Callithrix jacchus: one gene and its partners. The main gene of each other region encodes a partner of the protein of the gene in region 6 in a complex. Links are inferred from orthologs where the notes say so. Each region holds a gene or a part of one and is shown on either strand. Other genes may lie near its edges.

Region 1 (4,283 bases), on a different chromosome or scaffold from region 6:
GATCTCTCTAGATGAATCAATTTTTTCATTCAGTTAGCAAATATTTTTTGTGTATCTCCCAAGTTCTGATACTATGAACTGGGACACAACGGCCAAGATGGAAAAAGATCACTATCACGGAGCTTTGGATCATAAGGCAATAAAGTGAATTTTGGAACTGTTAATTACATCTTGAGAGAATTCTCTTAAATTTAGGGGCAATTAATATTTTAGAGGATAGAAATTAAGTATTAATGGCCATTATGCTCTACCAAACAGATCTTATTTTAAAAATAAATAGAAATAAGTACTATTATCCAGTTATGCCAAAATACTAAAAGCATGCATTGAAGAATACCTGACTAGCCATAGAAAAGACAAGCAGAAAACAGCAAAACAGAGATAGTGCAAAAAAAAATTTCCAGAGTAATTTAAAATTAGCTACAAGAGAGGCAGGAAACAATACTTCCATTATATCTACTTTAAAAAGATGCTCAGCTATCAGACAATTCTGTCCAAAATGAACCTGTGCTTCCAGAAGAACACTTCCTTCACTGTTTACATTTACATCTAAATCAAGCACATAAAAAGGAATCATCCTTGTTTCCCCAGGAGTATTCCAGAACAAAAGTAAATCCAGAGGTAGGATTCCCCTACAGGCATTCTCAGAATTAAAACAATGTAGACTGTGGGCTGGGCGCGGTGGCTCACACCTATAATCCCAGCACTTTGGAAGGCCAAGACAGGCGGATCACCTCAGGTCTGGAGTTGGAGGCCAACCTGGTGAAACCCCTTCTCTTAGCCGGGCGTAGTGGCACGTGCCTGTAATCCCAGCTACTCTAGAGGCTGAGGCAGGCGAACAGCTTGAACTCCCGAGGTGGAGGTTGCAGTGAGCCAATATCGCGCGCCACTGCACTCTAGCCTGGGTGACAGGGTGAGATTCTGTGTCAAAAAAAAAAAAAAAAAAAAAAAATATATATATATATATATATATATAGAGAGAGAGAGAGAGAGAGAGAGAGAGAGAGAGAGAGAATTATATAGCGAGCTGCATGTCCTCACTCCACTAATTCGGGTACTTTAAAATCCATTGCATAGCAGCTACACATTCTTGTATTGACACCAGATTGGTTAAGACCCTAGGGAGCATCCGAGATGTTTCCAGAAGCAAGGACTCCATCTCCGGGGATCACCCGGAAGTCTAAAAGCCATCGAGCCCCAAATCGATCCCGTAAAAGTGCTGGCTTAGCGGGGGATGAATCTGTATCTTTCTTGGAACTTCCAACCTTTAAATATTTTGAAACCAACAGCCCTTACGAAACCCTGCCATTTTCATCCTGGAAGAACATTTCTCGCGAAAAGACGAACTTCACGCTGGGCACCGTAATTGCGCTATTGCGCCGGCGCACGCCGGGCTCCGCACTTCCGCCCGGGCGGGCTGTCACTCACAGCCGCCTCCCGCCCCGCGCCGTGACGTAGCACTTCCTTTTTCGCTGGGTTGGGCACTCAGTCGGAGGGTCAGCGAGTTGACGGTTGTTGTGCTGCGGGCTGCCGCTCTCGTCAGGCTTTCGCGCTGCCCGTCCCGGGCCCTTTCATCAGTAATCGGTAGTGGATCATTCTGCAAACCAGCAGGAAGAACAAAGGAAACGAGAAGGAGACGCTGGGCTCCCTCCCGCTTTGCTCCGTTCGGCTTCCTTCCGCTTTGCTCCGTTCGGCCTGCTCCCGCTTTGCTCCGCTCGGCCTGCTCCCGCTTTGCTCCGCTCGGCCTCCTGTTCGCTCCAACCGGGTGAAACTGAACTTATAATCGTCACTGGATTGTAAGTACCCGAGGCGAAGAGAGCTTACTGCGCCCCGATTTTTTGAATGTCTTTGTTCCGGGAGAGTCTGTGACTTGGGAGTGTCTCTGCTGGGCTTTCTGGGCCGAAAACCGTTCCGCGGGAGCCGCCATTTGCTTTCCTGCTCTGTAGCTAGCTAGCTCTATCCGCGTTGTCCGGCAGCGGCACCTAGAGGTTGGGACTTGGCATTGCATCTGATTTAATGAAAAATCTGTGAATAAGCCATTGTTGTCAGTAACGACTGGTATTCAGTCACAGCATATTTAGAGAAAAGACTTGGACTTAAAACTGAAGCAAAATAGACGCTTAGCTGCTGATCTACAGAGAACTTCTTGTAATTAAACGATTTCAATTCATAGCAAACTGGTGTTTTAAACTGTTGCAGTAGCTGGAACTTTTCAGTGTAACCAGCATTTATTGGAGAAGTGAGTCACAAAGAAATAAAGATGAGTAAAAGCAAAGATGATGCTCCTCACGAACTGGAGAGCCAGTTTATCTTACGTCTGCCTCCAGAATATGCCTCTACTGTGAGAAGGGCAGTACAGTCTGGTCATGTCAACCTCAAGGACAGACTGACAATTGAGTTACACCCTGATGGGCGTCATGGAATTGTCAGAGTGGACCGTGTTCCATTGGCCTCAAAATTGGTTGACCTACCTTGTGTTATGGAAAGCTTGAAAACCATTGATAAGAAAACCTTTTACAAGACAGCTGATATCTCTCAGATGCTTGTAGCCACAGTTGATGGTGATCTCTATCCTCCAGTGGAGGAGCCAGTTGCTAGCGCTGATCCTAAAGCTAGCAAGAAAAAGGATAAGGACAAAGAGAAAAAGTTCATCTGGAACCACGGAATTACTCTGCCTCTAAAGAATGTCAGGAAGAGAAGGTTCCGGAAGACAGCAAAGAAGAAGTATATTGAATCTCCAGATGTGGAGAAAGAAGTGAAACGATTGCTGAGTACAGATGCTGAAGCTGTTAGTACTCGGTGGGAAATAATTGCTGAAGATGAAACAAAGGAGACAGAAAATCAAGGCCTGGATATCTCTTCTCCAGGAATGTCTGGTCACAGGCAGGGCCATGACTCATTAGAGCATGATGAGCTTCGAGAGATATTCAATGACCTCAGCAGCAGCAGTGAGGATGAAGATGAGACCCAGCATCAAGATGAAGAAGATATAAACATCATTGACACTGAGGAAGATCTGGAGAGACAGCTACAGGAGAAGTTAAATGCATCAGACGAACAGCACCAAAAGAATGAAGGAACCAATCAGCTGGTTATGGGAATTCAGAAGCAGATTGACAACATGAAAGGCAAGCTCCAAGAGACCCAGGACAGGGCAAAACGACAAGAGGATCTCATCATGAAAGTGGAAAATCTGGCTCTCAAGAACAGATTTCAGGCTGTACTGGATGAGCTCAAGCAAAAGGAAGATCGAGAAAAGGAGCAACTCAGCTCTTTGCAAGAGGAGCTAGAATCACTCCTAGAGAAGTAAAAAGAACTCTGCTACTGAATTTCAGTCTTCAGACTGGTCAGCAGTAGAAAATTCTTAGCTTTATTACTTGTACTGCATATTAAGACCTTGCCCTTCCTAGTCCCTCTAATGCTGGGTGTTCTGTTGAATTCTTTTGTTTTTAATTTTGTTTTTCTGCAAACTTACCTTGTTTTGCTAGTTGTTAATCCTATAAGAAAAATTATATAGGCAGAAAAATGATTGTAGGAAAGTTGCAGTATTAGTGTAATGTATGGTTCAACCTTAATTATAGTTTCACTGCAGGACTTTGCTGTTTATCCATTTTCCTAGAAGCTGGTGTTGCTGCTTTGTGATGACATGAGATCAATAAGAAAAACTTAGTCTAGAGACAGTGAAGCTGGTTTGTATATGTTTTCCCATGCAATAGCTGTTTTCCCAGTTATTCAAAGCAGTTTCCCATATGTAGAACTGCAAATTATTTTATAAAGTTTTCAATACAATAAATAAAAGCGTCTGTTTTTCACCTTATAATGTATCTTGTTCTTTCATGGTTGGTGGGAGTGAGATTCTCTTGGGAGGTGTTTTTGTGGTGGAGTTTAGTAACTGAGCAATTTAATCCTGTTCTGCAGGTAGAAGCAGTTGGATTTTATGAAAAAAAAAAAAAAAAAAAAAAAAAGGAACGTAGCAGGGATAAAGAAATTGGGAGTTGTCAAATTTGCATCACATTAAGGTTCCAATTCTGTCTGATCTACTTGAAGCTGGGAAACATTAGATACAGAGCTTTCTTTACCATAATTTCTGTAGATGAAGGCCTTTGTGCTTTTTTTTTTTTAAAAGCACTAAATCTACCTGCTTAAAATGTTGAAAACAAAGCAGTGGTTATCAAGTGCAGTCCAATGAACCATTCCATTGGTTTGAATTAAGATTTTATTTCTAATTTTCTTCAATTGAGTTCCTACAATTATTTAATATTCTAAGAACTGAGGTTATTTAT
Region 2 (3,500 bases), on a different chromosome or scaffold from region 6:
GGTGGGCGGATCACATGAGGCCGAGTTTGAGACCACCAGCCTGGTCAACATAGCAAAACCCTGTCTCTACTAAAAAAAAAAAAAAAAAAAAAATTAGAAAAATTAGCAGGGCATGGTGGTGGGCACCTGTAATCCCAGCTACTTAGGAGGCTGAGGCAGGAGAATCACTTGAACCCAGGAGGTGGAGGTTGCAGTGAGCTGAGATTGTGTCACTGTACTCCAGCCTGGGTGACCGAGTGAGACTCTGTCTCAAAAACAAAAACAAAAAAGAAAATGAAACAAACGGCTATGTGGCTTTGGGCAAGAGTCCAGAGAGGCCTGACCTAGTAGGACTGACCTTTGCTGTCGGCTGCGGCAGCCCCTTGACCTTTGCCTTTCAGGGGTCCGTCTTCCTCTTGGCCTGGCTTGGCTGACTTTAAGGGTTCTGTGGCTTCAGCCTTCTGTTGCTCTTTGGGAGCTGGTGGGAAAGCAGGCACAATGGGAAGGGTGATGAGAGTAGCAGGAAAAGTAAAAGGTGGGAGAAGGCGGGTACAGTTGCTCACACTTATAATCCCAGCACTTTGGGAGGCCAAGGCAGGCAGATCACCTTAGCTCAGGAGTTCAAGACCAGCCTGGCCAACATGGTCAAATCCCATCTCTACTAAAATTACAAAAAACTAGCCAGGTGTGCTGGTGTGTGACTGTAGTCCCAGCTACTCGGGAGGCTGAGGCACAACAATCACTTGAACCCAGGAGGCAGAGGTTGCAGTGAGCTGAGATTGTTGCACAACTGCACTCCAGCACTCTAACATGGGCGACAGTGAAACTCCATCAAACACACACACACACACACAAAGGTGGGAGGAAGGGGAAAGGGACCAGATACCCAGAGGGTGGGGCATGAAGAGGGTTACCTGGGGGTGGGTTCTCAGGGATAGCTGGCTGGCAGCCCTCGATGCTCAGCCAATGAGCTGTAAGGAAGGCAGGTGTCAAGGTGAATTGCCACACATGGACACTGGGGAGTTGCTCCATGCTATGGAAGGTATGTTTCCACTCCTGCTCCCCTTGCAACTCACCCGGGATCTCACACTGAGGTTTTTTTCTATTGTGAGGCTCCTCACACCCACACGCATCTGTCCGACTTTCCCTCCTCCCTGCCACCCTCCTCTCCCCTCCTTCAACCTTTGAGGCAGACGTCCAGGGGCACCCGGGGCAGAGGGGTATTGATGATGTCACTCAGATCAACCTCCTTCTCCTCGTAGAAGTAAAGCTCCCGGCCCCCACCAGAGGCGAATCGGAAAGGAATGAACTCCTGGGCATGGAAGCCATAGAGTGGCTGTGGCAGGAGAGAGAGGCATGGGTGAGAAGGGAGCTGGAGGAGACCTGGCTGAAGGATGGCGTCTCACCCTGGTCTCCACTGCCCTGTCCCCATCACCCGCCCCCTGCCTGTCTCCCCCAGTCACCTCAACATTCTTTAGCTTCAAGGCATAGTCAATGTCACTGGTGGTGAGCTTCTGCCGCTTCCCCATGTGCATGAACTTCAAGGCATCCTGGGATGGGTGAGAGAACAGATGTCAGCCCAAGACCCTAAAGAAGGAAGGGGCCCCGGGTGACATCTTGGACCCAATGTGGAGCTAGAGAGAAGAGCTGGGTCACCTGTGCAATCTCTTTGATGCGGTAGCTGACCTCATCCGTCAGCAGCTGACAGGTCTCCTCCTGAATCTGGGCAATGCCCATGGATTCAGCCACCACCTTCATGGACTCCGAGGGCAGCACGGTGTTGCTAAGCTTCAGCTTCTTCTCCTCAGCCATTCTGGAGCCTTTTCCTCCCCAGCAGGATGAAGTTCCTGGTGGAGAGACGGAGACCCTGGCAAAGGGATGGGGCAGGCAGAAGAAAAAGAAATGTGAGGCATGAGGAGAGGGCCAAAAATGGAAGACAGTGGAGAGAGGGAGTAACTCAGGGTGTCTTCCATCCATCCCCACATGAGTCAGCCCTGAGGTATTACAGAGAAGAAAATCTGGGCTGGGGCCAGATGTGGTGGCTCATGTCTATAATCCCACCAGCACTTTGGGATGCCAGGGAAGGCGGATCATTTGAGGTCAGAAATTCAAGACCAGCCTGGTCAACATGGCGAAACCCCATCTCTACTAAAACTACAAAAATTAGCCAGGCATGGTAGTGCACACCTGTAATCCCAGCTACAAGGGAGGCTGAGGCAGGAGAATCACTTGAACCCAGAGGGCAGAGGTTGCAGTGAGCCAAGACTGCACCACTGCACTCCAGCCAGGGTGACAGAGAGACTCCACCTCAAAAAAAAAAACCTCTGGGCTGGGCCTAGTGGCTCATGCCTGCAATTCTAACACTTTGGGAGCCTGAGGTAGGAGGATCGCTTGAGCCCAGCAGTTCGCAACCAGCCTGGGCAATATAGTGAGATCCCATCTCTACAAAAAGTACAAAATTAGCTGGGCATGCAGGCTTAAAGCTATAGTTTTAGTTACTCAGGAGGCAGAGGTGGGAGGACTGATAGGGCTCAGAAGCTCCCAGGATCAAGCAGTGCTCACACCTCAGCTTCCCAAGTAGCTGGGACTATAGATGTGTACTATCAGCACAGCTAATTTTTTTTGTTGGGGGGGTACAGAGTCTCACTATGTTGCCCAGGCTGGTCTTGAACTGCTGGCCTCATGCAATCCTCCTGCTTTGGCCTTCCAAAGTGCTGGGATTAAAGGCCTGAGTCACCAGGCCCAGCCCATATTTCTTTTTCTGTTATACCTCAAGGCTTCAATCCCAGCACTTTGATGTCTTGGGCTCAAGGGAGCCTCCAGCTTTTGCTTCTCAAAGTGTTGGAATTAGAGGCATGAGCTGAAGTGCCTGGCCCAGCCTCAGCTTTCCTTATCTGCACAGCACTGCCATCCGTCCAGGCACTTGTTCTTTATCTAAGCCTTCACATCAGATCCACCAGGTGGTGGCTCAGGCCTGTAATGCCAGAACTTTGGGAGGCTGAGGTGGGCAGATCACTTGAGGTCAGGAGTTCGAGAACAGCCTGGCCAACATGGAGAAATCCTGTCTCTACTAAAAACAGAAAACTCAGCCGGGTATGGTGGTGCGTGCCTGTAATCCCAGCTACTCAGAAGGCTGAGGCAGGAGAATCACTTGACCTTGCGGGGTGGAGGCTGTGGTGAGTTGAGATTGTGCCATTGTATTACAGCCTCGGCGACAGAGACACTTCATCTCAAAAAATATATAATAAGATTAAAAAAAAAAAAATCCACCCAGTAGTCCAACCTGACTGTCCTGTTCTCGCTGCTTGGCCCAGGTCACCATCATCTATCCCCTGGTAACTCTAAAAGCCTCCAGACAAGGTCCACTGATCTCTACCCTTGTCTCTCTCTACATCTGTTCCTAACTTTGCAGCCAAAATGCTAATGTCAAACTGTAAAGCATATTGTCATTTCTTTGCTCAAACCCTTATAATGGCTCTCCACTTGCCACAGAGTAAAACCTGAAATCTTTATAATGGCCA
Region 3 (3,500 bases), on a different chromosome or scaffold from region 6:
GAGCCTTGATTGGGCCACTGTACTTCAACCTGGGCAATAGAGGGAGACCCTGTTTCAAAAACAAACAAAAAAAAGTTATTGGTTCTTTTCTATGGTAAGGCTCAGGAAAAAAAAGTTTATTGGAAATTCTTGCCCATTCAGATTTTCTCTTCTGTTGCTGATGTCTTTGTGGATTAATATTTTATTTTATTTTATTTATTTTGAAATGGTGTCTCACTCTGTCGCCCAGGCTGGAGTTCATTGGTATGATCTCTGCTCACTGCAACCTCTGCCTCTCAGGTTCAAGCCTCCCAAGTAGCTGGGACTAGAGGCACACGCCACCATACCTGGCTAATTTTTGTAATTTTAGTAAAGAAGGGGTTTCATCATATTGGTCAGGCTTGTCTCAAATTCCTGACCTCAAGTGATCCACTTGCTTTGGCCTCCCAAAGTGCTGGGATTACAGGCGTGAGCCACTGCACCTGGCAATAAGTTGGTTTTTTTTTTTAACTGTTTATTTTAATGCACTGTGGGAGGGATAGGCAGTAATTTTTGGAGTTGATCTGCTGTTTAATCAGAAGTCTTTCTTTTAGATGGTATCCATTTGGTTCCCACAGTAAAGATGACACTGAGTTAATGACCAGAATAAGGAATTTTGTGTCTATGGTTGTAATTTTAGTTTGTTTTTGTTTGTCACTAGAGGAAGCCATGGGAAATATATTGACTGATAAAAGTCTCAGTTTTGCCAGGCACAGTGGCGCATGCCTGTGATCCCAGCACTTTGGGAGGCCAAGGTGGGCAGATCACGAGGTCAGAAATTAGAGGTCAGCCTGACCAACATGATGAAACCCCATCTCTACTAAAAATATAAAAATTAGCCAGGCGTGGTGGTGTGTGCCTGTAATCCTAGCTGCTTGAAAGGCTGAGGCAGCAGAATCATTTGAACCTGGGAAGCAGAGGTTGCAGTGAGCCCAGATTATGCTACAGCACTCTAGCCTAGGCAACAGAGTGAGACTCCGTCTCAAAAATAAATAAATAAATAAGTAACCTCAGTTTTTTTTCATGTATTTATTTATTCATTTATTTTTGAGACAAGGTCTCTGTCACCCAAGCTGGAGTGCTGTGCCACAATCACCGCTCACTGCAGTCTTGATTAACTGGATTCAAGCAAGCCTCACACTTCAGCCTCCCAAGTAGCTGGGACTACAAGTGCATGCCTCCAAACTCAGCTAATCTCTGTATTTTTTGTAGAGATAGGGTTTTGCCATCTGTGTTGCCCAGGCTAATCTTGAACTCCAGAGCTGAAGCAAACCATCTGCCTCAACCTCCCAAAGTGCTGGGATTATAGGAGTGAGCCATTGTGCCTGGCCTCATGTAGATGATTATCTTCAGAATTCTCATCCTTCTCTTCACACAGTCCAATAATAATTGATAGTGATGTGGAAAGAACTCAGGATTAAGACTCAGAACCCTTTAGGTGGAATCCTGGTTCCTCTTGTTTCTTTCTTTTTAATTAATTAATTAACTTATTTATTATTTTTATTATTGTTATTATTTTGAGACAGAGTCCTGCTCTGTCACCCAGGCTGGAGTGCAATGGTGCGGTCTTGGCTCACTGCCACCTCAGACTCCCAGGTTTAAGCAATTCTCTTGTCTCAGCCTCCCAAGTAGCTGGGATTACAGGCATGAGCCACCATGTCTGGTTTTTTGGTTTTTTTTTTTTTTTTTTTGAGACGGAGTTTCGCTCTTGTCACCCAGGCTGGAGTGCCATAGTACCATCTTGGCTCACTGCAACCTCTACATCCTGGATTCAAGAGATTCTCCTGCCTCAACCTCCAGAGTAGCTGGGATTACATATGCCTGCCACCATGCCCAGCTAATTTTGTATTTTTGGTGGAAACAGGGTTTCATTATTTTGGCTGGTCTCAAACTCCTGACCTCAGGTGATCCACTTGCCTGACCTTCCAAAGTGCTGGGATTACAGGAGTGAGCCACCGCACCTGACCCTTAGAGACTGGGTTTCAACATGTTGGTCAGGCTGGTCTCGAACTTCTGACCTCAAATGATCTGCCCACATCAGCCTCCCAAAGTTGTGGGATTATGAGTGTGAGCCACCATGTCCACCCTCAATTTATTTATTTTTAAATACAGATGAGGGTCTTTCAGTATTGTTGGGTTGGTCTCAAACTTCTGACCTCAAATGATTCTTCCAACTCAGCCTCCCAAAGTGCTGGGATGACAGGCATGCACCACTGCACCTGGCCTTCTGCTTTCTCCTTACATGGCCAGGAACAAATTAGTCTCTCTGAGTCTCTAAAATCCTCTATAGAATGAATAAAATCCATGTCCAATTTTCTTCATAGGATAATTACAAGGACTAAGTGAGATAATAGAAATAAAAGTGCTTTTAAGAGTCTGTGAGTGAGGAATTCAAATGATTCACTTTTATTTTTCCACCAATAAAGATATGAAAGGTAGGGATTGTGATAGTTGATCACTGCCAGGTAAAAAGTATATGCTGAGGCCGGGCGCTGTGGCTTAAGTCTGTAATCCCAGCACTTTGAGAGGCTGAGATGGGCAGATCACCTGAGGTCAGGAGTTTGAGACCAGCCTGGCCAACTTGGTGAAACCCTATCTCTAAAAATACAAAAATTAGCTGGGTGTGGTGGCGGGCACCTGTAATCCCAACTACTTGGGAGGCTGAGCAAGAGATTTGCTTGAACCCAGGAGGTGGAGGTTGCAGAAAACCAAGATCATGCCATTGCATTCCAGCCTGGGCAACAAGAGCGAGATTCCATCTCAAAGAAAAAGAAAGTATATGCTCAGAAAGGTGTGAGTTATACTCAACCTGGGTAATGTTTTTCTTTTGTCCTTCTCATTCCTCTTCCCCACCTTAGCCCAAATGCTAATTCCAGCCTTCTACTAGAAATCCTGACTAGATATATAACCTAAGCAGAAAGCAGTTGTCCCACCACCAGAAGCCTATTTGCCAATGTCGTGGTGACTCTCCCCACTTTACCTTCCCCAGATGCTGCTGCAGATTGCTGATGATTTTATCGAGAGTGTGGTGACAGCAGCCTGTCAGCTTGCACGGCATCGCAAGTCCAGCACTCTGGAGGTGAAAGATGTCCAGCTACATTTAGGTATGTGGTTTTGTTTCTCCCTGAAATATGTATTCACCTGCTGCTTCAGGACTGCCAGGGGAAGTGTAGTCAGAGGAACCTTCATGCCAGAACCAGACTTTTGGGCACTGGGATTTATGTATTAATTCAATAACAGCACTAAATAGAAAAGAAAAATCCATCCATGGTAGGGGGAATGAGCGCAGGCATGGATTTGAAACCAGATTCTGCCACTTTCCAGCTGTATCAGCCTATTTTTACTACCTAGTTTCTCTTAGACTCTGTTTCCTCATTTGTAAAGTGAGGATCATAGTCTCCTCCTTACAGGATAAATCTGATAATTATAGACTATGTCTGTAAAGTGACTGGCACTGGGCCTGCACAAAGTAGGACCTGGTA
Region 4 (4,032 bases), on a different chromosome or scaffold from region 6:
CCAGCCAAATCCTGCTTTTTAAAAAATACTTAATTAACAGTACTCCCTGCAATTTTCTCCATATGGATATTATTTTGTGTCAGGGGGCCATGACCGAGTAGCTCGGTAAGAACACTGTGATCTTATGACTGGGTCTATTCAATGATCAGAATGGTTTCTTGTTGGGAATTACAGCAGCCAGCCAAAATCATTTAACTTCCATTATTAAGGATCAGCTTTGCATTTATAACTAATTTGAAAATCAGTTTTGGGAAGGAGTATTAATATATCTGCAATTACATCTATTTGAATCCTGCTTATATATATATATATATATATATATATATATATATATATATATTTTTTTTTTTTTTTTTTTTTTTAAGAGAAGGGGTTCACCATGTTGGTCAGGATGGAGGATGGTCTCGATCTCCTGACCTCGTGATCCACCCTCCTCGGCCTCCCAAAGTGCTGGGATTATAGGCATGAGCCACCGTGCCCAGCCAAATCCTGCTTTTTAAAAAATACTTAATTAACAGTACTCCCTGCCACCCCCATCAGATGCTTAACCTTGTCTTCCACTACCACTGTGAGCACCTTTATGTTTCTCTGTATTCTCCTTAGAAGTTGAGGATAAGGTAGCTCAGGTTAGAAACTATTTGGCCAGGTGTGGTGGCTCACACCTGTAGTCCCAGCACTTTGGGAGGCCGAAGAGGGCAGATCACTTGAGGCCAGGAGTTCCAGACCAGCCTCGCCAACATGGCAAAACCCCATCTCCACTGAAAAAACAAAAAACAAAACTTAGCCAGGTGTGATGGCACGTGCCTGTAGGCAGAATTGCTTGAACCCAGGAGGTGGAAGTTGCAGTGAGCCGAGATCACACCACTGCACTGGGTGACAGTGAGACTGTGTCTTAAAAAAACCAACTGTTTGGTGGCCAGAACTAGGGCAAAATACTTCCTCGTGGTTTAGAAAGGAATAGGGAAGGAAGAGGAGTATACAGAGAATTGAGTTCTATAACTTAAATTTCGGCAGGGTACAATGGTACAGGCCTGTAGTCCCAGCTACTGGGGAGACTTAGGTGGGAAGATTGCTTGAACCCAGAATTTGAATCCAGCTTGAGCAAGACCTCAGCTTTTTTTTTTTAAAAAGACAAAACAGTACCAGATCAACTCTTAGGACGGTTAGTCTCATTCTTCTTCCCTCAGTTAACTAGTAAGTGGGAACCACTGGAACTAACATTTCATACAGATGTTTCTATATTTATTTTGGATCGATTTTTGGCATTTCACAGCTAACTCCTAATTGTCATCTTTTGCTTTTAATAACTTTATAAAAGGCTTTGGGCTACAGACCACTATCAGCCTTTAAGGATATTTGCTGGCCATCTTGCTGATGTGAATTGTACCAGATTCCATCCAAATTCTAATTATGTTGCTACGGGCTCTGCAGATAGAACTGTGCGGCTCTGGGATGTCCTGAATGGTAACTGTGTAAGGATCTTCACTGGACACAAGGTATTTTACACTCTTATTATTCTAGCATCCGAAGTTGCTTTCAACAAAAAAATATGTTTTAAACAAGTAACATAAATTTTAAAGACACCATTCTTTCTACAAAACTTTTAAAATTTTTTCTTATTTTCTTGGACATACTTGACTTTGGTCCTCTAAATTTCTTTTCTAGGGACCAATTCATTCCTTGACATTTTCTCCCAATGGGAGATTCCTGGCTACAGGAGCAACAGATGGCAGAGTACTTCTTTGGGATATTGGACATGGTTTGATGGTTGGAGAATTAAAAGGCCACACTGATACAGTCTGTTCACTCAGGTTTAGTAGAGATGGTGAAATTTTGGCATCAGGTAAATGACTATTAATGGCTTTATGGTAAATGGTATGGTAAGAGGAAACAGTGTTGACGATTGCTAAATTAAGTCCTGATGTTTCAGGTTTTGCTTTCCTTTAGCTATGATTCCAGTGTCACCCTACACGAATGACTTCTCAGTCTGGACTTCTCAGGTGGACTTAAAATACCACCTGAAGGGCTGGGCGCGGTGGCTCACGCCTGTAATCCCAGCATTTTGGGAGGCCGAGGCGGGTGGATCACGAGGTCAAGAGATCGAGACCATACTGGTCAGCATGGTGAAACCCCGTCTCTACTAAAAATACAAAAAATTAGCTGGGCATGGTGGCGCCTGCCTGTAATCCCAGCTACTCAGGAGGCTGAGGCAGGAGAATTGCCTGAACCCAGGAGGCGGAGGTTGCGGTGAGCTGAGATCGCGCCATTGTACTCCAGCCTGGGTAAACAAGAGCGAAATTCCGTCTCAAAAAAAAAAAAAAAACCACCTGAAATGCTCCTTTAGGAGTAGTTGTTGGCCAAATTTAGATTTTTCACCCAAAATGTACAGTAAATACATAAAATGCATTGGACAGTCTCAGAATCTAAATATGATGGATGCAGCTAATGGTTTCCTTTGACTTCCCCTTAGGTTCAATGGATAATACAGTTCGATTATGGGATGCTATCAAAGCCTTTGAAGATTTAGAGACAGATGACTTTACTACAGCCACTGGGCATATAAATTTACCTGAGAATTCACAGGAGTTATTATTGGGAACATATATGACCAAATCTACACCTGTTGTACACCTTCATTTTACTCGAAGAAACCTGGTTCTAGCTGCAGGAGCTTATAGTCCGCAATAAACCATCGGTGTTAAAGACCTTTTGGAAGCTACTGTTTTTAAAAAGGGAGACTAAAAGCAAATACCTCAGTGATTAATATTTAAGCTACAAAGAATGTTTTTGTCTATACGGATCTGGAAGTATGCTGCTTGGAAAATCTGAACATGACAGTTCCACGTTTCTATAGCAACCACATTTGACTAATTTCCGTTAGTTGAATAAGAGGTATTATGTTCATGGAGGGGACATTTATGGTGCTTTGGATTGTGTGGAAACTATGCATTTTCTGTTCAAATGCTATTTTAATTTATTACATTTAGAAAAAAAGTTAATTTCAATAATTCATCCTGCTTCGAGATTCAAAATCAGAAATATATCATTTTGAATTTTAGCTGAAGAATCCTATGAGCATGTATGTTTCTGCTGTAAAAATGTAGTTACTATATGGCACTCAAGTACTATGTAAAATGATCTGCTAATTTTTTTTTCTTGGCCCATGATTAGTGGAACATATCTAACTATGTAGGGTGAACTACAGTTCCTATTTTAGATCTAGATTTAATACAGCTCTCCACTGACATCTGAATTTATATACCTGTTGAGTTTTGAGTGCAGCCAAACACTTGATAAACGAGTTGAGGAAATTTAGCTTCCATGTTCTACTTCAGCTAAAACAGCTACATACAACCTAGTACACTTGAAGTCAGACAGACATTTCCGTTGCTTACCTCCAGTACTGAGCCTTGCTTTGGGAAACTAAAAGATTTAGACCAAGTCACTGCCAGTTTTTGCCTTTGTTGCATTTTGTACAGTTTTTATATTTTTGATACCTTGTAAATAAAGACCAGCTTTTCCAGGTTCATAATTTATTGTACAAATTGTATTATCACATGATGAGTTGGGATTAGCTTCTCCAGGCATGGAACTTAACAGATGAGGTTAAGAACCAGAGGCAGTTTAAAATCCTATAAACAAAGCAAAAAGTTTAGATACAAACGTGGTCAACTTTAAAGACATTGAAGAATTACTAAGATACATGAACCCACTGAAATTGAATGCAAATTTATTAGCCTGTCAGAGGCATAAAACCAAAATTAAGGTATAACTCAGATTAATACATTTTTTTTTTTTTTGAGACAGTTTCCCTCTTCTTGCCCAGGCTGGAGTGCAATGATGCGATCTTGGCTCACTGAAACCTCTGTCTCCCGTGTTGAAGCGATTCTCCTGCCTCAGCCTTCCAAGTCCTGGGATTATAGGCATGTACCACCACGCCCAGCTAATTTTTTATTTTGAGAGATGGGGTTTCACCTTGTTGGTTAGGCTGGTCTCGAACTCCTGACCTCAAGTGATCCACCCACTTTGGCC
Region 5 (2,710 bases), on a different chromosome or scaffold from region 6:
GAAAGAGGCACTAAAGGAAGGAGGAGAGACAGAAAAAGAGAGAAAAGTAGGCATGTGCAGTTACAGAAGTAATGGGCCCTATCAGGGCCTGGTGGCTCATGCCTTAATCCCAGCACTTTGGGAGACTGAGGCAGGAGGCTTGTTTGAGCTCAGGAGTTCAAGACTAGCCTGGGCAATGTGGTGAGACCTCATCTCTACCAAAAATTTTTTAAAATTAGCCAGGCATGGTGGCAGATGCCTATAGTCCTAGCTACTCAGGAGGCTGAGGTGGGAGGATCACTTGGTCCTGGGAGGGGGAGGCTGCAGTGAGCTTGATCAGGTCACTGTATTCCAGCATGGGTGACAGAGTGAGACCTGTCTCAAAAAAAAAAAAAGTAATGGGCAATAAAGAAATGGCTTGTGGCTCTTAGGAAACCAGAGCACAGCACTTACCCTGCTGCAGAACAGCTGCAAGGCCTTAAACACCGCCTGGCCTGAGCAGCAGCTTCCCCTTCTGGAAAACTGGCAGGCTGGACTCAATTGCTAAGCAACCTTCCAGCTCCACCATCAATGAAATGTATAAATCACATCCTATTCAGAGGGATTAATTTGGTGTCTCACCCACCTCCTGTCCACCTCAGGCTGCCTACACCGTGAGGGGGCTCTGAATATGGATGCCAAAGTAAGCAGGCCTTCTGCTGGCACCGGAGCACCTGTTAAAGAACAGTGTTTAAAAACAAGAGTTCGGCCCCAGCCTGCTCCAGATCTCCCACTTACTAACTGTGGAATCCTGGGATCCTTTTTGAGCCTCATTTTCTTCATTAGTGACATAAGAATAATAGTACATACTTTGCAGGGTTGTTAGGAGGATTAACAGAGAGAGAGAGAGCGAGTGTGTGTGTGTGTATGCATATGTATATTTTATTTAGAGACAAGGTCTTGCTCTTTTGCCCAGGTTGGTCTCAAACTCCTGGCCTCAAGTCATCTTCCTTCCTCCACCTCCCAAAGCGCTGAGATTACAGGCATGAGCTACTTTGCCCAGCCTACTGTATATGTTTTTAAGACCTTTTTTTTTTTTTAAGACACAGTCATGCTCTGTCACCCAAACTGGAGTGCAGTGGCATGATCACAGTTCACTCCTTGAACTCCTGGCCTCAAGCAGTCCTCAGCTCCTTTGGAGTTGGGACTACAGGTGTGCACCACCACACCCAGCTAATTTTTTAAATTTTTTGTAGAGACAGTCTCACTATGTTGCTCAGACTGGTCTTGAACTCCTGGGCTCAAGTGATCTCCTGCCTTGGGTTCCCAAAGTGCTGGGACTACAGATGTGAACCACCATGTGCAGCCAAGACTTTATTCTTTTAGAGCAGTTTTAAGTTCACGACAAAATTGAGAGGAAGGTACAGAGAATTCTCATATACTTCCTGTCCTTACATGTGCACACCCTCCTCCCTGATCAACATGAGTTAATTTTTCAAGAGCTTAAAATTATGCTATATAAGTGTGGTTCAGTAACTGCTTTTTGGTCACGATTGTATGAAACAATCCACAGGCGTGCCAGCCTGGGCTGGTGGGTAAGCTCAGTCTGGAAGAGGGAGGGACCACTCTCTGGAGGTGGGCTGACCATGACACCTGGCTGGCTGGTCCCCAACAGGCTGGCAAAGGAGGAGGTAAGCCGGCAGGAGCTGAGGCAGCGGGTGCGCATGGCTGACAATGAGGTCATGGATGCCTTTCGCAAGATCATGGCTGCCCGGCAGAAGAAGCGGACTCCCACCAAGAAAGAAAAGGACCAGGCCTGGAAGACTCTGAAAGAGCGTGAGAGCATCCTGAAGCTGCTGGATGGGTAGCCCTCACCCTTGCCTCAGGCTGCCTTCTGGGGGAGGGGAAGGGAGGCCCACTTCCTTCTTTGGGCACAGGGAGCGTTGGCCTGTGGCTGTCCCTCAAATGGTGGCAGTCTCTAGAGGACCGTGGCCCTTCCTTTGAGGTCTTTTGGCCTGCCTAGCTCTGTATAGCCAGGACATAGGAAGCCCTGCTGGGTTGGCCTGGGGCCTAGTCCGCTTGGTTCTCAAGATGAGGTTGGGGGGGCTTCGTTTCTGGATCTTCCTCTTCCCTCTCTTTACCATCCCCTACTCCCTAACCCCCTACCCCTCTCTCCCCGTCAAGGACTTCTCCCTGTGGTTTTATAAAGTGCAAACTAAGAATAAAGTGACTGCTGTGGTTTTTCAAAAAAAGCATCCAGTCTGAATGTCTGTTACGGTGAGGTAGGAAGGAACCAGTGTGGGTGGTAAGGTTTGTAGGGATATGCTTGGTGGCTCTCAGCCCGTGACCACCAACCTGTGGCATTCATTCAGGGAGAACTTTCTGAGCACCTCTTTCTGAGGTTACTCGTGGCTGCAGGTAACAACACCCCCCAGCTCCAAGTGGATTCACAATAAGGAAATGTGTGGGTGTGGACCGGGTGCAGTGGCTCAACACCTGTAATCCCAGCACTTTGGGAGGCTAAGACGGGTGGATAACATGAGATCAGGAGTTCAAGATGAGCCCTGACCAACATGGAGAAACACCGTCTCTACAAACAGTACAAAATCAGCCAGGCATGGTGGCACATGCCTGTAATCCCAGCTACTCGGGAGGCTGAGGCAGGAGAATCACTTGAACCCGGGAGGCAGAGGTTGCGGTGAGCTGAGATCCCGCCATTGCACTCTAGCCTGGGCAACAGAGTAAAACTCCA
Region 6 (3,500 bases):
ATGGCTTGTCTCTCGTTCATTTTCTAAACAAAATATGAGGTCCCTGAGGTTGACCCGTGTAATTCTTTGTCGTGTGAACTGCCTGGGGGTTCCAACACCCGAGCTGCCTGGGACCACTGAGCCGGAGCCCGACCCCTGGTGACGAAAAAGGAAAAGACAGTTGTGTTAGTGGGGTTCGAAGCGGGGCTGGCAAGGGGTGCCGCCTGTTGGCTGTCCCAAGTACCCTGATGCCAGAGGAGGCCAGGCCCGGCCGGGCCCCTTCCGGCAGGCCCACAGGAGGAGCCGTTCAGGGCCTGCCAGGGCAGGGGTGAGGGCAGGAGGCCCCACACTGTGCCTTCAGGATAGGGCAGACTCAGACACTGCCCAATGCCCCACAGTACTCAGACCAGGCCCGGGGCTGAGGACGGACCAGGGGGTGGCACCCGCCCAAGGCGGATGGCTGAGCAGTCCCAGGGTCACCCTCCATGCGACCGCAGCAGAGGGCACAGAAGCCACACTGTGTCTCTGTGTGTCATCCCTGCTTGGCTGCTGAATTCCTGCACTGGGTGTGCTGGGTCAGCTAAGAAGGCTGGATTGCTCAGTGGTTCCCACAGTCATCCCCGGCTCCTCCACAACCCTGCACAACCCTCCCTCTGGCTGGGCCCTGGCTGCAGAGACCCTGCCTCTGCCAGCCCCCTCCAGGTGTCCAGCTGTGTCCTGAGCCGCCTCAGACACCTTCCTGCTTGGAGAAGCATAGCTGCTGGGTGCCAGTTCTTGTGGAGTGTTCCTGTGGTTTCAGCAGACAACACCTGCACGACACCACCCAGCAGGGCACATGCCAAACTCCCAACAGCTGCTGTTTCCCCATTTGGCTGAAAACCAAGGCCTGCCATGGGGGTTAAAGTTGCTCATGTATATTTAAGTACAAAGATTACGATGGCATCTTTACAGCACGTTCTCAACCGCAGTTAAGATGATGGAAGTAACGGATTCTGCTCTGTGCATGGGAGCCAAACTGTGGGCAGCTGCAGGCGAGGCCCAGCTGCCCCGACCTGGTGCCCTCATCTTGCCCTTCCTCCCATCCCCCCTCTGCCATTATCAGTTCAGGCTGGGAGCACAGCTGCCCTGTGTGATGGTCTCTAACCGATGGCATTTTCTTTATTCCTATGAGACTCAAACAGTAGAGGGCACCGTCTCCCTTCAGATGCCCTGAGCCTGAGGGCCCTTCTTCAGATCCGCCCTGGGTCCCTCTGCTACTGAAGCCTCTGCAGGCTCCACACTCGCTCATTACAAACTGATCCGCACCTGATCAAGTTTGGGCGGGTGACAGTTTGCAGAGTGAGGGCGGGGATCTCACAGGCACCACCCAAGCAGGCTGTGACCCAGTGACACCTGCTATAGATTCCAGACTGCGGTTTGATGTGTCTACCTCAAAATAGCTCAGCAGCCAAGAAAGAGGGCTGGGGTGAAAGTGAGACGCTCATCTTGGGAGCACAATTTAAGGGATGCTGAGAGTCAAAAATCAAAATATTCTAATGCAAGTGTCAGCAGCAACCAAGGGCAGGGGGCGAGGCAGTGCCTGCTGGGTGCTGAGGCCACCCCCAGGCCCAGCACACTGAGAACCTGATGCCGGGCCCTGCTTCTGTGCCAGGCTCTGAAGGTACAACTATGAATGAAAACCATAAATTCTCCAGGTTCTATGAGTTTAATAAATAAAACTAATTTTTTTCTTAAATCTTTTAAAAAAAAAAAAAAGAAAAAGAAAAACAAGCTTACCCGCGAATCTAACCTACCCAATATTCCAACTGCCCCTCTCTACACAGTGCCCTCCACCCTCCCCACCCGCCTCACCCCAGGCAGGAGGGTCCACACTCCCTTGTCTTTCCAACAGGGTCTTTGCTCACAGAATTCTATGTGGAGTTTGGCTACCACAGAAGGTCCTATGCTAAATTGCTCTGAAGACAGAGTGGAGATCTCATGGGAACCTCTCCCTCCGTTCTCAGGACTGGGGCTGCCGGCGGACCAGGGTCTTCTGTGCCCAGCCCACACAGCAGTGGCAGCGGCTTTCCTATCTAGGTTCATTGAAACCCCTCATGGGCTATGCCCATGGTGGGCACAGAAGCCCGGGGGACTGGTCATGGAGCCTGCTGGGAGGAGAGTGAGGGCTTCCAACCCCAATGGGAGGCTGGAGGACAAAGCGTCTGTGGGGACCAGAGCCAGGGCACCCATGGACACTCTAGAGGGACTGTGTGACACACACAGGCGCAATGTTGCAAAGCAGGGCCTGGGACAACACAGATCCACGAGGGCCAGCACAGACATGAAGCCCTAGGGGGCCTCGGCCTAAACAACTCAAAACACAGGGGCTTGGGGTTTTCTAGGTGCAGGCACTGGGATTAGAGAATAAGCAAGCGAGTGAGCAAACATAAATCCCCACGACCTTGGACATGCCACGTGAACCCTCCCTGAGCTGGGTCTCCGCCTCTAAAAATGGCACCACAGGCACCCCCTGCCCTGTCACAGGGCTCTTAAAAGGGCCAAATGAAAGGAGGCGATTTCTCCACCATGCACGTGCCACAGGCACTTGAAGTTGAAGCCCAGTGCAAAAGAGTCACCATCAACAGATCCGCCTGGTGCAGGGTCTGTGCTGCCCGAATGTCAGGACCCGCACCAGCAGCGTCTGGGCTGTCCCGGAGGAGCAAGTCTGCTCCTAGGGTGGGAGCCCACTGGGCCATCCTTACCTCCACCACCACAGAGCCCCAGCCACGGGTGGCGACAGCTGCGCCCACAGCCGCCTCAGCAGCAGGTACAATGGCCCGTGCAGCACACGCTCCAGCTGCTCTGCCCTGAATGCATGCACACCCCCTCCATGCCTAACCACTCAAAGGGCGCCACACGCGAGGCCCGGTCATTGCGGCACATTTTCCAGGAGATCAGTAGTAACGGAAAACTCGGACACACAGCCTAGACAGTGAATACCACTTCCGGGAGGCTGAGGGTGACCTGGCTGCGCAACTGATGTCTCCAGCCTTTCTTCCAATCACAGCTCAGCACAAGCAAAGAACACAGGTCTATAGCAGCATCGCTGCCTGCGCAGGGCGCGGACGAGGGCACCCAGACTTCAAAATCACCGCAAGTCAGCACAGAGTCAACACACGCTGAAGCCTGACCCCCAATCCCTTCCCTGCAAGGCCACAGCGGGGCAGGTCCATAGGAAGCCACTGCTGAAAGGTTAAGCCACCTCAAGTCCGAGGGCCTGAGAGGTGTCCAAGGTGGTCAGCATAGAGCACAGGGCAGGGACTGCCGAGCATGAGACGGGAAAGGGTCATCAAGGCAACATGGCATGTCCTGAGAGGAGCCGTTTGGCGAGTGGGTAGTGAGGCAGAAGAGAAGGAAAAGGGGCAGTGCTGGGTCCTGCAGGAAACGGCCAGGACAGCCCAAGGACCATGTGGGTCCTGCACACCCGCAAGGATCTGCTTAGACCCCGACTTCCCCATGCAGCCAGCAGAGGGCGCCGGGGA
Region 7 (2,528 bases), on a different chromosome or scaffold from region 6:
TGGGATTACAGGCTTGAGCCACTGCACCTGGCCTAGATTTTTTTTCTCCAGTGGACTTTGCTCATTTCTGCTGCCAAAAGTAAAGATATAAGAAAAGCATTGTTTCCTATGATCCGTGTTAGAGGAAGTAAAAAAATAAATAAATAAAAGAAAAGCAATCCCAGGGCTGACCTGTATGGGATGGTAAGTTGTCCCTAATGTAGTGATCCCTGGGAGCTGCCCCCGTTATTGAGTAAAAAGCCTGGCTGTTTCCCATTGCTACTCTAGCTGGTGAATTTTTTTATTTTTTAAGCAGGAGATACATACTTTTAAATTATTACTATTTTTTGAGACAGGGTCTTGCTCCGTTGCCCAAGCTGGAGTGCAGTGGCATGATCTTTAGTTTTTTTCATGTTTTTTTTTTTCTTTTACAAATCATCAATTAAGATGGTGTACAAAATGAGATGATAACAGTGGTGTGATCATAGCTCACTACAACCTCAAACTCCTGAACTCAAGGGATCCTCCTGCCTCAGCCTCCCAAGTGGCTAGGACTGTAGGCATGCACTACCACACCTGGCTAATTTTTAATTTTATTTTTATGTAGTTATTTTTTTGAGACAGGGTTTCACTCTGCTGCCCAGGCTGGAGTGCAGTGGCATGATCATGGATCACTGCGACAGCAGGTCCTGGGCTCAGGTGATCCTCCTGCCTCAGCCTCCTCAGTAGTTGGGACCACAGGTGCACACCACCACCCTGGCTTTTTAATTTTTTTGTAAAGACAAGGTTTTGCCATGTTGCCCAGGCTGGTCTCAAACCCCTGGGCTCAAGCAAATCCTCCCACCTTGGCCTCCCTAACTGCTGGGGTTATAGGCATGAGCCATAGCATGCGGCCTATAAGAAATATGTTTTAAACTGCTGTCTATGATAAAGCCTGATATGAAATGTTATACTAAAACTAATGTGATACATTTTATATCATTCTCTTAAAGTAAAAATGTCTTGGTTTATTTCCTTAGCAAGCTTAAGAAAGGTTAACGAGAATTACAGGACTCAAAAGGATTATGTGATTAGTAAATTCTTGTGTGATAATAAGACTTTCTCCTTACCCTCTGTTTAGCACTGGATGTGTGTGAGAAATGGGGAGAAATGCCACCACTGCAACCCAAACATATGAGGGAAGCTGTTAGAAGGTTAAAGTCAAAAGGACAGATCCCTAACTCGAAGCACAAAAAAATCATCTTCTTCTAGACCAAAGTCTAGAAAGGCCTGTTACTGACAGAAGAAGTATTGGTTCCGGACTTCCTGTAAGACTGGCTACTGGTGCTTTAGTATCTCAGTCCTCCAAGGATTCCATGATTTTAATGTCTCTCAAAACTCTTGATTATTCGTCACACCTAGAAAGTATGTAGCCTGTTTGATACTTGCCTTGACTAAATTTTGGGACCTCTTGGGGCATTTTGAAGTATTTGTCTTGGCCAGTTGGAAGAAGTGTGGGCCATAAACATTTTCTGGACAGGAGAACTGCTTTCAGAGAGAAAAATCTTTCCAAGAGGTTTTTTTTTTTTTTTTTTAGATAGGGTCTTGCGTGTCACCCAGGCTAGAGTGCTGGAGTGCAGCGGCATGTTTGCAGCCTTGAATTCCTGGGCTTAAGTGAAGTGACACTCCCACCTCAATCTCCTGAGCAGCTAGGACTACAGACACACACTACTGTGTCCAGTTAACTTATTTTTATTTTTTATGGACATGGGGTCTTGCTTTGTTGCCCAGGCTGGTCATGAACTCTTGGCTTGAAGCAGCCCTCCTGCCTCAGCCTCCTTAAGTGCCAAGAGCTTTAATGGTTTCACATTGAAGCCTAAAGTTGCTAAGACTTAGTTCGTTTCTTACAACCAGTTTTAAGTAGATGAAACAACCAGAAACTTTGACTTGTGATACTCTACCATGAAGGACGTGGTAAAGGCAGGAATCGTGGAATAACTGGTGCTTGTAAACATTTAAGATTCTCCTGTGGATTTTGGTGAGTGATCATTAAACTGTTTTCCAACTTGCCTTATGTGTATTCATTTTCTGTCTAGCTGGTGGTAATGGGAAGTTGATTATTTTCTGGTGTTCCAATACAACTGGTTTTGGCTATTTTGTGAAAATTTGAGTCCTTTTTCTAATAAAACCATTAAAATTTTCTCTCATAAAAGAGTACTTCAAGCACTGTTAAAAACAATGTAATAATCTCCCCCTAAAACTGAGAAAATAAACAATATAAAAGCCCATATATTTCAGATGCTTATCAACAGATATACAACAACCATTATGATTTAATAAATTTAATTTGTTTTTACAGGTGGTTCACAGAACCAGTACACTCAAAGTTTGACTAGATATTGCAACATTGAAGTTTCCCAATACGACTGGGATTCCAGTTCATCAGATACATTCTCATTGTTTTTCTCAAATGGAGGGGAATGAAGTGACCTTTTATTGACAGTGATTCGCAGTAATAAGGCTACTGTATGTAATTGGCAATCCCCAATAATTTTTCCTCTCTACGGAAG

What was found.
Region 1: TAF4 (region 6) and TAF7 share a complex: the UniProt entries of both Homo sapiens proteins name them as parts of the TFIID basal transcription factor complex. The link is inferred for Callithrix jacchus from reciprocal best matches to the Homo sapiens genes TAF4 and TAF7.
Region 2: TAF4 (region 6) and TAF6 share a complex: the UniProt entries of both Homo sapiens proteins name them as parts of the TFIID basal transcription factor complex. The link is inferred for Callithrix jacchus from reciprocal best matches to the Homo sapiens genes TAF4 and TAF6.
Region 3: the proteins of TAF4 (region 6) and TAF12 are in contact, whole or in part, in a crystal structure (PDB 1H3O), measured with the Homo sapiens proteins. The link is inferred for Callithrix jacchus from reciprocal best matches to the Homo sapiens genes TAF4 and TAF12. Residues at the interface, in NP_003176.2 of Homo sapiens: Phe872, Leu873, Leu874, Pro877, Leu878, Arg880, Arg881, Ile882, Ile885, Gly886, His889, Gly890, Ile891, Thr892, Glu893, Leu894, His895, Asp897, Val898, Tyr901, Val902, His904, Ala905, Thr906, Gln907, Gln908, Arg909, Leu910, Gln911, Leu913; in NP_001128690.1 of Homo sapiens: Val57, Leu58, Thr59, Lys62, Leu63, Leu66, Val67, Glu69, Val70, Glu74, Met83, Leu84, Ile87, Ala88, Asp89, Phe91, Ile92, Glu93, Val96, Thr97, Cys100, Ala103, Arg104, Ser108, Ser109, Thr110, Leu111, Glu112, Val113, Lys114.
Region 4: TAF4 (region 6) and TAF5 share a complex: the UniProt entries of both Homo sapiens proteins name them as parts of the TFIID basal transcription factor complex. The link is inferred for Callithrix jacchus from reciprocal best matches to the Homo sapiens genes TAF4 and TAF5.
Region 5: TAF4 (region 6) and TADA3 share a complex: the UniProt entries of both Homo sapiens proteins name them as parts of the TFTC-HAT complex. The link is inferred for Callithrix jacchus from reciprocal best matches to the Homo sapiens genes TAF4 and TADA3.
Region 7: TAF4 (region 6) and TAF11 share a complex: the UniProt entries of both Homo sapiens proteins name them as parts of the TFIID basal transcription factor complex. The link is inferred for Callithrix jacchus from reciprocal best matches to the Homo sapiens genes TAF4 and TAF11.

The regions. Positions count from the first base shown.
Region 1 is NC_133503.1:39,749,875-39,754,157, reverse strand, and holds TAF7 (transcription initiation factor TFIID subunit 7), read left to right. Parts: upstream 1-1,483; 5' UTR 1,484-2,260; coding exon 2,261-3,310; 3' UTR 3,311-3,817; downstream 3,818-4,283. UniProt on the Homo sapiens protein: The TFIID basal transcription factor complex plays a major role in the initiation of RNA polymerase II (Pol II)-dependent transcription.
Region 2 is NC_133503.1:13,469,746-13,473,245, reverse strand, and holds part of TAF6 (transcription initiation factor TFIID subunit 6), read right to left. Parts: intron 1,847-3,500; 5' UTR 1,792-1,846; coding exon 1,636-1,791; intron 1,530-1,635; coding exon 1,443-1,529; intron 1,316-1,442; coding exon 1,162-1,315; intron 951-1,161; coding exon 894-950; intron 458-893; coding exon 338-457; intron 1-337. UniProt on the Homo sapiens protein: The TFIID basal transcription factor complex plays a major role in the initiation of RNA polymerase II (Pol II)-dependent transcription.
Region 3 is NC_133508.1:65,279,059-65,282,558, reverse strand, and holds part of TAF12 (transcription initiation factor TFIID subunit 12), read left to right. Parts: intron 1-3,007; coding exon 3,008-3,122; intron 3,123-3,500. UniProt on the Homo sapiens protein: The TFIID basal transcription factor complex plays a major role in the initiation of RNA polymerase II (Pol II)-dependent transcription.
Region 4 is NC_133513.1:96,372,799-96,376,830, forward strand, and holds the end of TAF5 (transcription initiation factor TFIID subunit 5), read left to right. Parts: intron 1-1,318; coding exon 1,319-1,496; intron 1,497-1,665; coding exon 1,666-1,843; intron 1,844-2,470; coding exon 2,471-2,688; 3' UTR 2,689-3,532; downstream 3,533-4,032. UniProt on the Homo sapiens protein: The TFIID basal transcription factor complex plays a major role in the initiation of RNA polymerase II (Pol II)-dependent transcription.
Region 5 is NC_133516.1:66,944,169-66,946,878, reverse strand, and holds the end of TADA3 (transcriptional adapter 3), read left to right. Parts: intron 1-555; exon of another isoform or gene 556-570; coding exon of another isoform or gene 571-692; intron 693-1,633; coding exon 1,634-1,826; 3' UTR 1,827-2,210; downstream 2,211-2,710. UniProt on the Homo sapiens protein: Functions as a component of the PCAF complex. The PCAF complex is capable of efficiently acetylating histones in a nucleosomal context. The PCAF complex could be considered as the human version of the yeast SAGA complex.
Region 6 is NC_133506.1:57,549,470-57,552,969, forward strand, and holds part of TAF4 (transcription initiation factor TFIID subunit 4), read right to left. Parts: intron 136-3,500; coding exon 1-135. UniProt on the Homo sapiens protein: The TFIID basal transcription factor complex plays a major role in the initiation of RNA polymerase II (Pol II)-dependent transcription.
Region 7 is NC_133505.1:43,120,438-43,122,965, reverse strand, and holds the end of TAF11 (transcription initiation factor TFIID subunit 11), read left to right. Parts: intron 1-1,099; coding exon 1,100-1,230; 3' UTR 1,231-2,028; downstream 2,029-2,528. UniProt on the Homo sapiens protein: The TFIID basal transcription factor complex plays a major role in the initiation of RNA polymerase II (Pol II)-dependent transcription.